2 linked regions of the Caenorhabditis elegans genome follow. The protein of the gene in region 1 interacts with the protein of each later gene in a pairwise test. Each region holds a gene or a part of one and is shown on either strand. Other genes may lie near its edges.

What was found. The genes of interacting proteins can lie anywhere in the genome.
Region 2: the proteins of cmd-1 (region 1) and aspm-1 interact in a two-hybrid assay, tested with the Caenorhabditis elegans proteins (2 studies listed by BioGRID).

What each region holds. Positions count from the first base shown.
Region 1 is NC_003283.11:1,153,148-1,160,491, reverse strand, and holds cmd-1 (Calmodulin), read right to left. Parts: upstream 4,222-7,344; 5' UTR 4,185-4,221; coding exon 4,151-4,184; intron 3,870-4,150; coding exon 3,631-3,869; intron 3,534-3,630; coding exon 3,386-3,533; intron 3,329-3,385; coding exon 3,300-3,328; 3' UTR 2,303-3,299; downstream 1-2,302. Other genes in the region: T21H3.5 (Serpentine Receptor, class H), read left to right, coding at 1-50, 619-950, 2,106-2,241. UniProt on the Caenorhabditis elegans protein: Calmodulin mediates the control of a large number of enzymes, ion channels and other proteins by Ca(2+). Among the enzymes to be stimulated by the calmodulin-Ca(2+) complex are a number of protein kinases and phosphatases.
Region 2 is NC_003279.8:9,219,553-9,228,100, forward strand, and holds aspm-1 (Calponin-homology (CH) domain-containing protein), read right to left. Parts: upstream 6,839-8,548; 5' UTR 6,832-6,838; coding exon 6,771-6,831; intron 6,720-6,770; coding exon 6,017-6,719; intron 5,953-6,016; coding exon 5,629-5,952; intron 5,525-5,628; coding exon 4,888-5,524; intron 4,842-4,887; coding exon 3,888-4,841; intron 3,529-3,887; coding exon 3,158-3,528; intron 3,110-3,157; coding exon 3,036-3,109; intron 2,892-3,035; coding exon 2,455-2,891; 3' UTR 2,198-2,454; downstream 1-2,197. Other genes in the region: lim-9 (Protein espinas), read right to left, coding at 1,106-1,176; lipt-1 (BPL/LPL catalytic domain-containing protein), read left to right, coding at 7,439-7,534, 7,584-7,820, 7,872-7,990, 8,040-8,240, 8,285-8,501.

The DNA of each region.
Region 1 (7,344 bases):
TTGTCATGAAACTGAGCGGTCACGACTTTTCATATTTTGTGGTTGATTGGGTAAGTGAATTTGTGAGATAAAAATGTAAAATTTGCAAAAAATGATTTTTTTTGAGTTTTGAATATATTTGGAACATAAAATTTAAAAAAAAGGTACATCCATAGGAAACTCTGCAAATCGGCAAATTGGCGGTTTGCCGATTTTCCGGATATCTTCAATTTCGACAATGTGCCGGTTCGCTGATTTGCCGGAAATTCTCTATTCCGGCTTTTTGCCGGTTTGCCGATTTGCCGGAAATTTTTCAATTCCTGTATTTTGCCGGTTTGCCGGAAATTTTCGATTCCGGTATTTTGCCGGTTTGCCAATTTGCCGGAAAATTTGCCAACAATTCGGCAATCGCTGTTATTCCTGCAAATCGGCAATGTGCCGGTTTGTAAAATTTTTCAATGCCGGCAAATTGCCGTTTTTTCCTGCAAATCGGTTCTTTGCCGGTTTGCAGGAAGAATCGTTGATTTAAATTTTTAGTAATTCATTTGTTTTTAAAGTTTATTAATTAAATTCACATGTGAATTAAAAATGGTTAAAAAATATATGTACCTTAAGAAAAATTAAAATGTTCAGTTTCAGAGTTTCTCGTTGCTAGTTTTCACATTTACCATCCCCTACATTACTTGCTTTATCGTTAGTCTGGTTTTTCATAAATTTTATATGAAATCGATTCGGAACGTTTCCAACGAGTTCATCGATATGGGATATCACGACTCGGCGAACATCAATAGAACCCTCCTATCAATTGCTCTTCAGAATCTCATATCAATTTCCATTCCACACTTTGTGCTCACAATTACGTCTCTTCTGAAATGGGATCTTGGTGTCCGTGCGTTACCGGCTTCGTTTGGATGTATTACGATTACATTGACAACGTCTCTCACAATTTTTGTCAATTTTAGAGCTTACAGGTTTGAGGTTTCTTTTGCAAATACACGGAGTTCTGGCTTTCCTCATTGAATTTTTCGCGCTCCATTGTCAATCGCCCGCCGGACACGTGGGAAAGTCGTGTAATCCACACGGACAAATACATTTAGTTTTCCAACTAAAATCGAGCCGCAACGCGACACGCAACGCGCCGTAAATCTACCTCAGATTTGGCCGAGCCAAAATGGCCTAGTTCGGCAAACTCTTCCATTTCAATTTATGAGGGAAGCCAGAAATCCGTGCAAGGATAATGTGGACGCTTGTAATTGCGCGCTACTGCTAAGTATGAAACGACTCCGCCTCTAAACCTTGGGTCTCGCTTGGTATTGGCGGCAAAGCTGTAAATTCGTACATTTTTCCATCGGTGTCAGGCTGTCCCATCGCTGCACACTGCACACTAAAGGTGCGAATAATTTTTTTGAAAGTTTGTGACGTCACCTAATAATTGTTTTTGCAACTTAAGAGTTAATTTTGGTGAAATTATTTTTTTTAATTTTTCAATTTGTTTCAGTTTCTCCACTTAACTTGTAAAATTTTTAGAATTTCAGTGAAATACTCCAATTCGACAAAAATCGCCGTTTAAATTGAAAAAAAATTATTCGAAATGCGCTGTGACGTCACAAATTTTCAAAAAAAAATTCTCGCCTTTGGGGCGATGGGACATCCTGTCACCAAAAAATTAATTTTATGTCGAAATGGGAAAGATAAAATTCATATTACTTTTGCACAAAATTGGCAAAATATCTCCTAGCGAAAACTACAGTAATCCTTTAAATGACTACTGTAGTGCTTGTGCCGATTTACGGGCTCGATTTTTGAAATGAATAATTTATTTATTGCTAAAATATTGAAATTTATCAAATAATGCAAAAAAAACTGTCACTACTATTCGAAAATAAATTCATTTCGAAAATCGAGCCCGTAAATCGACACAGTAGTAACAGTAGTAACAGTAGTAATTTAAGGGGTTACTGTAGACTTCGCTGCGAGATATTCTGCGCGTCAAATATGTTGTGCGATACGCAGTAGCAGTGTTTTGTGGTCCTTTAATATTGAATCATCATGTTTGCCGTCAATACCTAACGAGACCCAACGTTTGGGGGTGGAGCCTGCCGCTTTTCAACTTTTTCAATTTTCAGACGACAACTCGGCTTCATTATAATCGATTTTTTCCGGCAAAAAAATGTGAACCTTTCCGTCTTTGTCGTCGATAATCAGCAGCAAGCCGATCAACTTCAAATGTCCACCGTCGGAGCACCTATTTCGATGATGTGAGAAGTTTTTTTTCAAAAAAATAAAATTGTTCTTTTTAATTTTTAAATTGACTTTTTGATTGAAAAACCCCAAAGCATTCAAAAAAAATCAAGTTTCATTTGAAGATTTTCTTTTTTTTTTGTTGAATAAGTTCGCATCAAGGGACGAGAGAAGCGAGATAATCAGAGATAAAAATTTGAATTGTTCAGAGATTATAGAGACGGTGGTGGTGGTGGGTTGGTTGGGAAGAATGGAATTAAATTATTAAAGGATTTTGGAGACTTTGACTTTTACAATAATATAAAATAGGAATTTTCAAAGAAAAAATCCAAAACAAAAAAAAAGAAAGCAATGGTGCAAAAAGTGTTCACTAGGCGCCAAAATTTTTTGCCGTTGCTTGTCGAAATCGAAATTCAAAGCAACAGAAAATATTTCAGGTACAATTTTAAAATGGCCCGTGTGACGGTGTGTGTGTGGTGCGAAAAGAGGGAATTTTCTACACTTTCTATAAATGGTTGAGGGGGAAAGAGAGAGGAAAGAAAGATTTTCGAGTTTGGAATACATTTTTTGGGAAGAACAATTTGGAAGAAGAGAAAATATGAGAAAAATACCAAGTGGGAAAAGAAGAAGCCAGCGGTTTTTTTTAAGTTTTTTAAATTTTTTTATGGGGTTTTACAGGTTGGAGGCATTATTTTGAGGAAGGGTCAAGCCGGGGCAGGCGACCAAGAACTGGAGGATCCGGGACTTTTTAATTTGGGGGCAGGGGCAGGAGAAGAAGAAACTCAATCATTGTAAAGAGGAAATAAGAAAAAAATGACTTATAAATGAGTTTCACATTCTAAGAAAAAAACAAAATTAGGTTGAGAGCACGTCTGTCAAAAAAGAGGCAAAAAAACTTAAATTTGAACATAAATTACATCATTTATAGCATTTTTTGACTGGGCTTGGCAATTTTTTTTTGGGGCTCGAGAGCGAAATCACAATTTTCAAGCGGGGAAGAATAAAAAAACGAAAGGTGAGAGAAAAGGTGTTGGTGATTCGCAAACGATACGGCGGCTTCAGATCCCGATTGGTGTGATTTACTTGGTTGTCATCATGGTGACGAACTCTGAAATATGGGAAATTTGATGAAATTTCGAAAAAAAAAGGTCTTGTAAGGACTCACCCTCATAATTGACTTGTCCATCTCCGTCGATATCGGCTTCACGGATCATCTCGTCGACCTCTTCGTCCGTTAGCTTCTCTCCCAAGTTGGTCATGACGTGGCGCAGTTCAGCGGCCGAGATGAAGCCATTTCCGTCCTTGTCGAAAACCTGCAAATAGGAAGATTTGAATGAGATTTTCTATACTACATGAGGCTTCTCTATAGTGAATCAAAAATGAATTTATAAATTTCCACAAATCTCTTACTCGGAACGCCTCACGAATCTCCTCCTCACTGTCCGTGTCCTTCATCTTGCGGGCCATCATCGTCAAGAACTCTGGGAAATCGATGGTTCCGTTTCCGTCAGCGTCCACTTCGTTGATCATGTCCTGAAGCTCGGCTTCAGTCGGATTTTGTCCCAAAGACCGCATAACAGTTCCCAATTCCTTGGTGGTGATTGTGCCATCGCCGTCCTTGTCGAACAAACTGAATGCCTCCTTGAACTCTGAAAATTTGGCAAAATTGATTTGGTTTTTTCTCGAATTTTGTAGTTTTTTATACAATTGTTGATAGATTTTTCGCCGCGAGAACCAGCCAACATCTGGAATAAAACACACAAAAATAGTGGCGCTATACATCTGCTGCTACGGCTAATGTTTCATCCATTAAATTTAAATTTCTACGCCGCGCCGCTTGGTTTCTGCTCAATTCGCTTCGAAATGAGAGAGGATTAGATTTCTTCAATCTCCCGGTCCTCCGTCCATCAATCAGAATTTAAAAAAGTACCGGCAATTTGCTCCTCGGTCAGTTGATCGGCCATCTTGCTTTCGCTGTGCAGGGGGTGTTGTTAGAAAACCCTGAAAAATGAAAAAGGATAATTAATTAATTAATTAAAATCAATATAAATTGTTTGAAAGCGAGCGGAACGACGTAAACAATGATGAATACCGGTGGGTGAAACGGTGACGAGAGAGAAAAAATCGGAGAGAATAATCGAAAAAAGAGAGAAAAGAGAGAAAATAGAGAAGAACTAGAGAGAATTTACTGACTGATAAGCCAACGATAGGTACAAATTTTATATTTCGAAATGAAGAGAGAAGGAGACGAAATCAAAGGTTGATTTTGTCGAATTGGAAATATTTAGCGATTTCACTCTCCTCAAAGCCGAATTATTATTAGAGCGCGCTTGCTACGCGCTTTGCGTTTCTGCATCCGCGATGTTTTTGCCTGTCCACTGAAAAAATCAGATTTATTGAATCTTAGGAACAAACCAAAATGACGAAAATCAACTTTTTTCGTCCACTGGTTGAGAAAAAGTTGAAAAAATCAGCGGGATATTTTTTTTTGTTATTTTCTGAATCTATTTTTCTATCGAAAATCGGTTTTAAACCACTTTTGACTCTAAAGTAAGGTCACAAATGGATTAAAATCAATTTTTAATAGGAAAATATTTAGAAAATAAGAAAAATCTCGTTGATTTTTTCAATTTCAAACCTTTTCACAACCAGTAGACGAAAAAAGTTCATTTTAGTCATTTTAATTTCGATGTTCACTGTCTAGCAATAGGTTTGTCCGTGAAATGCTGAAAAAAAAACATCTACTTTCAGTGGAAACACGTGGTGCCAGGCTGGGCTGTCCCATTACGGTTTGATCTACAAAAAATGCGGGAATTTTGCCCAATAAATGTGATGTCAGCACGTTCTTAACAATGCAAAATCAGTTGAGAACTCTGTTGTCTCTTCTCCCGCATTTTTTGTAGATCTTTGTAGATCAAGCCGGAATGAGACACTCTGACACAACGTGTGGAAAGGCAAAACACCGCGGATGCAGAAATGCGAAACGTAGAAAATTATTCGGCTTTGAGGAGAGCGCGTGATTTCTGTCAAAAATCCACCAAAAAAAAACAAATTTCCAGTGGGTAGATCAAAGATCCCCTGCGGATATTCCATTACACATAATAATCGGAAAACTCTGATGGCCGAGACGTCTTGCGGAAGGAAAAGAAATGAAACAACAAAAAAGAGAGAAGATAGGGGTCAGTGTGTGTGCGTGTTCTGGTTATCGAATTATCCCCACAATACTTCAATTTCCTCTTGTTTTGCACGCAAAACGAGAAGTTGAAATTGGGGGATGGGGAGGGGGGGGGGGGGGGGTGTAGCGAAAACGGCCAACGTCTTATTCATCTGCGACGACCACCACCACCACCGCAACAAGAAAAGAACGGAGACGTGTTCGTCAATGAAGAAGTCTGAACACAAAAACTAGTTCTTCCTTCATCTCATCATACGTCCGAAAGAACATCAGCAGACACCGCGTCAACAACAAAAAAAGCCGACCAATTCTCAGCGGAGCGCATTTTCGATATGGAACATTAATACGAAAAAGGGCTGCTGTACAAGGGGATTATATAAGCGCGCGCGCGAAACGGAGCGGCGGTGAAAACTAAAGCATAATCCGACCCGGCGCAAGGGTTTTCAGGTTTTAACCTATAATGGGAAACCAGGAAAAGGGAATAAACAATCAAAAGAGACCTAAGAAATGTTTTTACAGAATGATAAATCACGAGAATATGGAAAAATAGTTGCGAAAACCTATTTGACGAGTTGAAAAATCAATGAATCACATGATTTAGCAAACAGACTCTGTTTTTTTTCTCGTTACACCTTCGTTTCTCAATTTGTTGGATCTCTCGAGCCTCCTCAAATATCTATACGAACGCTGGACAAATATTTGGCGGAAATCTCGGGGGGTTTCGAGGTTTTCTAACGAAGCGGCTCAGAAAGTCGGTAAAAACAACGAAGAAGCATTTTTCAGGAAAAATGAAACATCGGTTGTTTCTATTGCCCAGGCACATGAAATGATGCCCGTTTAAGCAGAGTGTGCGCGTGTGTGTGTGCAATTTCATTCGTCGCACTCCCTCTCTCTCTCGATGATGCTCAATTTCTCTATTTCTCCCGCCAGAGCGCCCATGCCTGAATACTGCTGTTTCAGTTGCTGGCTGGCTGCTGCAGTCAGTGTGGTGGTGGACGACCGACTGGTGGTGTGCGCAATGCGTCGGTGCGGCATTAGAAATAATGCATTGACGACGGACGACGGTGGAGAAGGAAGGAAGATTATCGAAACCGACAATGTTGGAACTCGAAAAAATGGAAATGGAAGAGTTTGCCGAACTAGGCCATTTTGGCTCGGCCATATCTGGGGTAGATTTATGGCGCGTCGCGGCTCGATTTTAGTTGTAAAACTGAATGTATTCACGACTTTCCCACGCATTGTCCGGCGGGCGATTGCCAATGGAGCGCAAAATTTTCAATGAGGAAGGCCCGTGCCAAGGTTTACAAGAACTAATTCTCACGACAAAATGAACCGCTATTAAAAAAATCAATAAAAACGGGGAGAAATCGACAATGCGCTGACTCATATTTTATCAAAAACCGTGCACACCTTATATACACGGTGGTAAGTGAGTCAGAAAAGGCAAAAAGAGGGCCAACGGGAGGGAACACTTACTCTAAAATGGGCGGGTCGTGAAGCGGTGGAGCGGTACCAAAACAGCTAAGCCACGCCCTGTGTTGTTTTCGATGGGGGGATATTCGACAATTTTTGCGCGGGGTTCTGGCCTTCCTCATTGAATTTTTCGCGCTCTATTGACAATCGTCCGCCGGGCAAAGTCGTGTATACTCCACCCGGATAAATGCTCTTAGTTTTACAACTAAAATCGAGCCGCGACGCGACACGCAACGCGCCGTAAATCTACCACAGATGTGGCCGAGCCAAAACGGCCTAGTTTGGAAAACTCTTCGATTTAAATTTACGAGGGAAACGAGGAATCCGTGATTTTTGGTGGTATCGCAACAGGAGGGAAGAGGAATTTCAGAGTTCAAGGAAACGAACAACACGACGAAAATCCGCGGAAAATGAGGGAAAAATCACTTTGAGAAGGAGAGAGGAAACGAAATCGGCGAACACAAGATTGTGAAATT
Region 2 (8,548 bases), on another chromosome or scaffold:
GATTATGAAGATAGTGGATAATGACAACAAGATAATGAGAAAATATATTATGAAATGAGAAATATCATTTGGATTTGAGAGACTCAGAGATTCACACACACTTCCCGAATATGGCATATATATCAATTGATCTTCAATTGATTAGGTACTCTATTTGTGTTGCATAGTTATATATCGAGAAATATAAATTGTGTACCCCAAAAAGTACTCCGGGATATGTGCTACAAATACACTCCAACATGACTTTAAAAAATAATTAAACGCTTCAAAAAACTTTAGGTCGTTCAAAAATTTCTGTCAAAGTATTGGTGAATCGCTAAATTTTGACGGAAATTTATTGGTAAAAAAATTTCCACTTTTCGACTGCAAATAAAAATATCTTTCAAAGCTTTTTACATTTTAGCAACGAATTAATTGGTTTCAAACAATTTTCTTATAGGCGACGTTCCACATTAAATTGTATAAATGATATTGGCCAGTCGATTTGAAAGAACAAATAAGTCTCGAACATCTTCTTCCGGAAGATTGCAGAAAAGTGTGCCTTAAAACTGGCAGTTATGTCACTTGTAGTCATTTTGAAAAATTGATCACAGAAGGATTACAGCGGGGTTTAGAAGGAAGAAATGTAGAGTTTGAAAGGGTTCTTACTGGTTTCTAAACACTTTTTTTGAAGAGAATTTTGAACTCTTCTACTTTAAGTTTATTACCATGACTCTCCTGAAGTTTTAATATTACAAATAAATTATGCATAACTCCAGAATAAGTTTGGTGAACTTTCCATGATTGGACAAAAGGTCATACCCGAGAGAGAGAAACATCCAGATACAGTAACCCACACTTGACAATACCTAATTTTTGTCGTGTCTTTTAGAAGAAAAATGGCAAGATCTGGTTTTTTTGGTATCTAAATGGTTTACCGTTTTTTACACATTTTTATTGAATAAATAACTTCTCGAACACATTTTACAAAAGCTACTAATATGCCTTTATAAGTTTATGAATTCAAAAAAATTGGGTGGAAAGTATTATCTACTATTTTAAGATGTTTTTTTTCAGAGATCTATCCATAACTATCAATTTTCCATTTTGTGAAAAAAAAACTTACGAATCTAATTGATAGGCAAGAAGATATTTGAATGCATTTGACAATTCTCTTGGACCAACATTGTCAGACATATTACAGAGAGGGGGCCAAGTTGAAAAGAGTTCTACTTCTGTTAAGTACTTATTATATTAGTTCAAGTGTCTATTTGTATAGAATAAAATAAAAGAAAAAGAAAAATTTTGAAGATTTTCTACTTCTATTCCAAATGATCTTCTGACCATTTTCTTGAATACGAAAATCGGGAAAATGCGAGCACAATATCGGCCAAATTATATGCGTCTTTGACTTATTCTCGTGATTTTTCAACCAAACAATACCTCAAAAACTAATAATTAAAAAACTGTGTAAAGACAAAACATTGATAATATTGTCTAAATTGCTGCCAAATTGTTATTACGTAGACGTGCAATGGTCTCGCCATTCGAACAACGGGTTACTGTAACTCGTATTAATGTACGGGCCGCTATTGCACAATTATTTTTTCTAAATAAATCTTGTCAGTAATTTCTATTTTTGAAAATGATGATACAACTTTTAGTGACCCGTAAACCGACATGAGTTACAGAAACTCGTTTCCCACGTGGCGAGACCCATACGCGCCTTTAGAATTCAAAAACATGTGTTGCAAGAGAACATATACAAATCTATTCCTGTAGATGTCAGCCGCTTCAACTTTTTTTCCAGAGGAAAGCAAAATCTAGACAAAGTTATAATGAAAATCCTGTCTGGTAAGTTTTTTAAAATTACTACTTAAGTAGCTACTTTTGATTTTTTTTTGTTGTTGAAAAATCACCAACTTTTGGCCGGCACTGCATATAGCTGGAATTAATAAAAACTAATGAACAATATTTTAAAAATTCGGAAAAACGAGTACTACTTCTCTCAAACTTTCGAAAAAAACCATAAAAATTTTGAGTAGGCGGAGCAGGAGCCGAATGACGTGACAAAGTACAAAAAAGAGCAGAAAAAGATGGTCGGAGGGTTACTGTGTAATGCGAACGGAGAGTAAGACGAGTAACTATTTGCAAATCGGATGAGCCATCTGCTACGCAACAAGTGCAAAACTCAAAAATTTTAAAGAGGGAACAGAGAAAAATAGCAGACTTCTTGAATTTCTAAAAGTAGCTAAATTCATCATACTCTAAAAAAAACGGTAGTATTTAAAATCAAGTTTTTACTTCACAACAGACTTTAAGAAACAAATATGAAATACCAAAAAATCCAAATAAGCATCAGGTTGACTGATCTTATTGGTAAATATTCACATAAAAATAATTAAACCGTGTGTATTTTTTCACGATATGATACACAAAACGGTGGGATGAATTTAATATTTAACAGAGACTAATTTAGAGCATATCTTCGCATATGCTTTCCAATCTGACCAATTTATTCCGACACTCCTGATCCTTGACTTTTTTGAGCGACTGCTTGATTGAGTAGCTTGATGAAGAAAAACTCGATTGCTTTTTGTCTGGGAATCTTCTAGCAATTGAAGTCAAGGTGTTAATGATAGGAATAAACAATTCCTTGACTTCCGAGTGCTTCAGCATCAGTAGCATCAAGCGAGGCGACAAAATCTTCAAGTGAGGGAGAATATGCGAATTGGTGACTTCTTCGGGAATCTTCGTGAATAATTTTTCGAGAACATTCAATAATGGATGAAGAATGCTCGTATAAGAGAATCCTCGATCCGCCACAATCAAAACATCAGTGATCGACTTGATGCCATTCAGTTCGACGACAAGCTTTTCCAAAAGTGATGGAACAAGATCGGTGACTCGGTCTGCAAAATATGAACATTTCTATGTGTTGTATGGTTTTGCAATTGACGAAGAAAATCATCCATGGCGGCATATTCATAAACTTTTGGTTTCTATGACTTTCAGATCAAAAAGCAGCTTCTTCGTAATTTTCATTTGCGACATACCGATGACAGTTGCAGCAACATGAACGACGTGAAGGTTATCATTTGTGAGTCCATGAAGAGCGCATTTCTTTAGCCTGAAAATCAATTTTTTTAAATATATTTAAAAAAAAAAGAGTTCTCACTTTGCCTCGACTGATTTATCCTCCATTTCTTCTATACCAATTTGCTCGTCTTCTTGCGCCAATATGTGATTGTATTGGATCATGCGATTGCGAATATTGCTAATTTCCATTTGGAATTTACGCCGTGCAATGAAACCACGTATCATTTTCTGAATGACAACAGCTGCCTTCTTTTTATTCTCAAGAATTTGAGTCTCATCATTTTGCAATTGAGATTTCTGATCCAATTGCATTGAATTTTCGAAGAGTTGACTGTCGTCACCGTGAAGGATAGCAACATCGTGCCCAGCATCTGATCTACTGTCGGACGAATCCTCCCCGCCATCACGAACAGCTAACGCATTTCTCTCGATGTTTCCCAGTTTTCTCGCCTGAAACTTTTAACCATTTTTAACCAGGCCCTGACCACTTTTTAGAGATATCCGTTTTTACAGCTAATTTTACTGGTTTTTCTCGGATTTTTTTGTGCTTCCATTTGAGACGCCAGATGAGAAAAGAAAATCCATTCAAATTTTCCAGGAAAACGAATATCTCGGCGGGCCTTATCAGTCGCTTCTTTTATTGTTACAAAATTTTTAAAAAACCCATTAAAAAATTTAGAAAAATGTTCAATTTTTTACAGTTATATGTGGTCATTATGATCTGTTCTCTCATTTAAAGCAAAAAATGTTTCGTTTTTTGACTGTTGAGTCCACCATTAAATAATCTGTCAAACTTGATATAGACTCACAATTTCCTGTTGCTTTCTCTTGAGTTCTCTGGTTTGTCTCAAGATCCTTCTAAGTTCAGGAGTGTTGGCATCGTCCTCAATAGACACACTAAGGTTATTCGTCTTGACGAAGTTCTTCTGATCTTCTGATAATGACTGGAAAAGCATCTCTAAACGCTCCTGTTCTTCTGTCATTCTGAATTCAACCAATGGGCTTCCGCTTGTCTGCGTAGGATCCATAGGAGATTTTGAAGGTAGATCTTCTTGCGTCTTGCCCTCTTTGATTTCAAAAGTTTCTAAGTTCTCAATTTTCTGACCATCATAGCTTGCTTCATTGTTCCCTTCTAGTGCAACCGGAGAATCTGATGCTTCAAGAACTACGACGCCGACATCTTCAGCTTTAGGGACATGCATCTCTTTGCCAGTTTCAGAGTCTTGAAGAAATATGGCAGATTGGGAAGCGGAAGGAATAGAAGAAAGAGTTTCTAATGGGATGTCTGAAGGTGGACTATCCAAGTTCTCAGCGGAAGGAGCAACAGTGTCTTTGTCTTGGTTTTCATCATCTTCATCTTGTTCTCTGAATACTTCCGCATTGTGCTCCATTCTGACAACGGTTCTCTTTTTCAATGTACTTGGTACGACCGTTTCGTTATTTTCCGAATCATCCTCTTCCTCGATAACCATCGCAATTGTTTTTCTTGTGAATGTACCTCTCAGTGGAGTTTTCTGCATCTTGTTCATGCTTTCAATTGAATCACGTGAAACAGTAAACGTCGCATCGTTGAAGGTAGAATCCATTGATTGGCGAGACGATGGGATTTGTGATAGAGATGGTCTTTCAGTCAGAATATTATTCCGTGGAGTCCTCGGTACTGTGAAAGTGACATTATTAGAGAATGGAGAAACACTTCGGTTTCGAGGAATTGATGAGTCGGCAAGAAGTTGTTGTACAATGAAATACAGCTTGGGAGTATTCTGAAAGTGAATTATAATATAAATAACTTTATTTTTTGATGAATACCTTTCTTTGCACGTAGGCCTTCCACATTCGTTGAATCTTGGTCGCTTTCTCATTTAGATCTTGAATCATACCCAGTCGTTCCAGAAACATTTTTACGAAAAGAGCCATGTTCTGATCAAGTCCTCGCTGAATACAAAGCTCCAACTCGGCAACTGAAACAACTTTCTCCCACAGACTGAGTCCATCATAGTCCTGAATCGGTGTTGAATTTGTTCCGAAAGTGGTCCACAACTTGGCCAGAAGGCACCCATCGGAGAGTGAATCCAAGTCCATGACTTCGATTTCCATCTGTCTTCCGTAAATCTTGCACATTTTTAATACTTCAGAAGACATGTCATCGTGGACAGCAGATCGCCGCTTTTTCGGAGTTCTTTCTTCAGAAACTCTCGTCACCTTGATTCTTTGTTCCTTGGCCACACGAACTCCGATAATAGCCCACAAAATAGACAAAATCTCGTCTTTCTTTCCGCCAACGATTGATTCGGCGTTAACATTATCCGTTGGAACACCCAAAGAAGACATCTCCTGGAGTACAATCTTCACGTTTCCAATTTTGCGGATGCGGTCGCCTGCTGGATCACGTAACTTCAACAGAATTTGACCATGCGGCATCTCTCCGACAGTTTCCAACAGCTTTCTGAAAAATAGGTTATGATCGGTGGAAATAGGGACAGTGATAACATTTGTTGTTGAATGAGGAAAAGCTCGTGTAATTTATAAGAAATCTTTCTAGAAACTCACGCCAAAATTAGACCATCCGAGAAATCTGAAAATCCTTTCGCTTGGTAGTCGTAATTTTCAATGAATGATTGTCGGTAAGTCGGAATAAAACCGACTTTTGCAAACGCTTTTTTGAAAGTAGCAGAGCTTCCAGTCAACAATTCCTTCGTCAGTTCGGAGAACACATCGTCGAGACAATTGAAATGAGAGGACTTCGTGAAGATTCTCGTCAGATTCGGGATAACTCGATGAGTGTGTGCCGTTTCAATCAAGAACATCAGCTTCATCGAGACGGACAGAAAATGCTTGTGTAGAGCTTCTTTGCCAGCCTCAGTGATGATCGGTCTGCAAAAATTTGATTAGGCATAATTTTAACGAACTCGTTCATCCTCTGAAATCAGCAACTTACTTTCCAGAACCTTGTGCAAATTTCTTGTTCTTTAGCATCGTCGGATTTGAGAAAACTAGATCGAGGAAAAACTGAGAAAGTTTTTTCATTAAATGCTTCGGTTGAGCGTCAATTCTCGTGTTAAAGATTGCTTCAAGAGCAGTTTTCAGCCAAGCAGGATGGAATGATAGAAATGTGTGAAGAAGAGTTGTTTGGAGGCCTATGTCATTATATACGGCATGTTCTTTTCGGATTGCGACGTTGTTTTTGGACAGAAGATCCTTGATGCTTGCATCCATTCCTGAATCGTCTAGAAGCTGCTTGCACTTTTTCTTCACAACTTCTGGATCATTTTTCTCAAAAATCCGTTGATATCTCCTGCGTGCATTTTCCTGTGTATTTTCCACTTCTGACGTATCTGATCTTTTCTTCAACATTTTTTGGATATTTCTGCAGGCTTCTGCTTTCGACTCTCCTAGATCCATCTCTTCAGACACATCCAATTCCATCATTGTGTTGCACCACGTGGCGAGTGCAATAATTTGCTTGTTGGCTTTCTCATCATATGATAGAATCGGGGAATCTGATACAGAAGAGCTGATTGAAGGATTGAGAGGAGTTCGCATATTCATTGAAGTCGGACTCGACTCCAAAAAGGCTCGCTCGGTTGCTCTCAAATCGATCTTCTTTGTGTTCGATTTGACTTGATCAAGAAGGCGTTTCTCTGAAAGAGGAAGAAAATAAATAATGAGATAAAGTATAAATATCTTGTTACCGTGTCGATTTGCTAATCGTTTGAGCATTGCCTCTTTTTTATCCTCAACGTTATTATCCATTTTGATTCTGAAAAATACAAAAAATAAAGACGAATAAATCAGGAAGGAAGACACAGCGATATTAGTTTCAATGCCGAGTCCAAAACGCGAAAAAGTCCCGATGTTGTTAGTTTTTTGTCAGTTTTCAGTGCAATTGTCGAACAAAGAAGACAATTTGGGGACTTTTACGCGTTTTGGACGCGGTACAAATGGCCACCTAAAACGGAGGAAAAAAACGTTTTGGGGATAAATCCGGAATTCGCGCCGCGTTCAGGTTGGGTACTGTAATCGTGATAAGACCATTTCTTTGAACTAAGAAGTGTGCCTTTAAACTGCTACTGTGCATTTTTATAATTCACACAAAAATTATATTTTAAAAAAGATTTTAAGGTGACGATTTTATAGTAGAAAAGCGTTAAACAGTTTTCAGGTAGCTTTCGGAAATTTAGATCAAACAAAAATCAATGAAAAAAAAGTAAAATTTATGTTTTGAACGCTCGCGCCACAATGTCATAAATGGAGCGCAATTACTGAATGTCTGCGTCTCCTTAATGCTAGCAATCTCTTCTTCTCAAATCTTGCAAATAAACAGTTTTCTTACCTTTTCCTAATTTATTTTTCTTGTTAAATGTGTTCTATATCACGCGGAAAATTGTCCACAGTTCTGAAATCCACGTCAAGCTGCATTTTCGAAAATCTTGCGTATGAGGAGCATATTTTCAGGGTCAGTTCAGCAGTAATTTCAGTGCCTTTGCTATAGTTTTTGATTTCAGACTCACAATGTCGCTCAAAACGGGGAAATCCTGCTCATGTGGAGTAATCGACCGGCTGTAGTCATCGGAAGACATCAAAATCCGTGGATTGAAGTCAACATACCATATGCTAACAAAAATAATATTCAAATTGTCCGAAGGCACAGTGGAGGAGGCACTGTTTATCATGATCTAGGAAATCTGAATATTTCACTTTTAACAACACACGCACAACACTGTCGGCCAAAAAACTTGAAGGTATTAATATCATTTTTCAAAATAATAAAAATATCATTTTATTATTTCCAGTTCATTTCGGATGCTCTAAATCAACAATTTTCTGTTAAAATCGTTCCAAACAAGCGTGATGACATGGAACTACATCCAGGAGAACGGAAATGCTCAGGAACAGCTGCAAGAATTGCGCGGTATTTTTAAAAAAAATATTTTAAACACTTGTTATGTGAATAATTTAAGAGGTCAAGCCTATCACCATCTAACACTCCTCGTCGGTGCGGATCTTCAAGTATTATCAAAATCTTTGAAATCTCCATGGAGAGATAAAATCGAATCAAATGCTACAAGAAGCGTAAGAGCTCCGGCTGTTGGATTTCTGAAACAAGATGATGCCAATGCAAATGTCGAACAATCAAAATTAGCCATTGTTGAAGCTTATAGGTGAACGGAGCAACTAAAAACTTCCAATCATTAAAAAATTTCAGAAAACTGTTCGAAGAATCACATATAAAAACTGTGAATGTTGCAGAGGAAGTGAAGAAAAATGCAGAAATATCGAAAATCTTTGATGAGTTGAAAGCCTGGAAATGGATTTATGGAAAAAGCCCGAAATTTCAATATTCCCGCGAAAATAAGTCCATAATTGAAGTGAAAGATGGACTCGTGTTAGACACAAATCAACAATTCTCGCCGGATCTTTAGTCATTTCTTTTTATTTTAATTATTTTCTAGTCGTTATTTGATTTTCC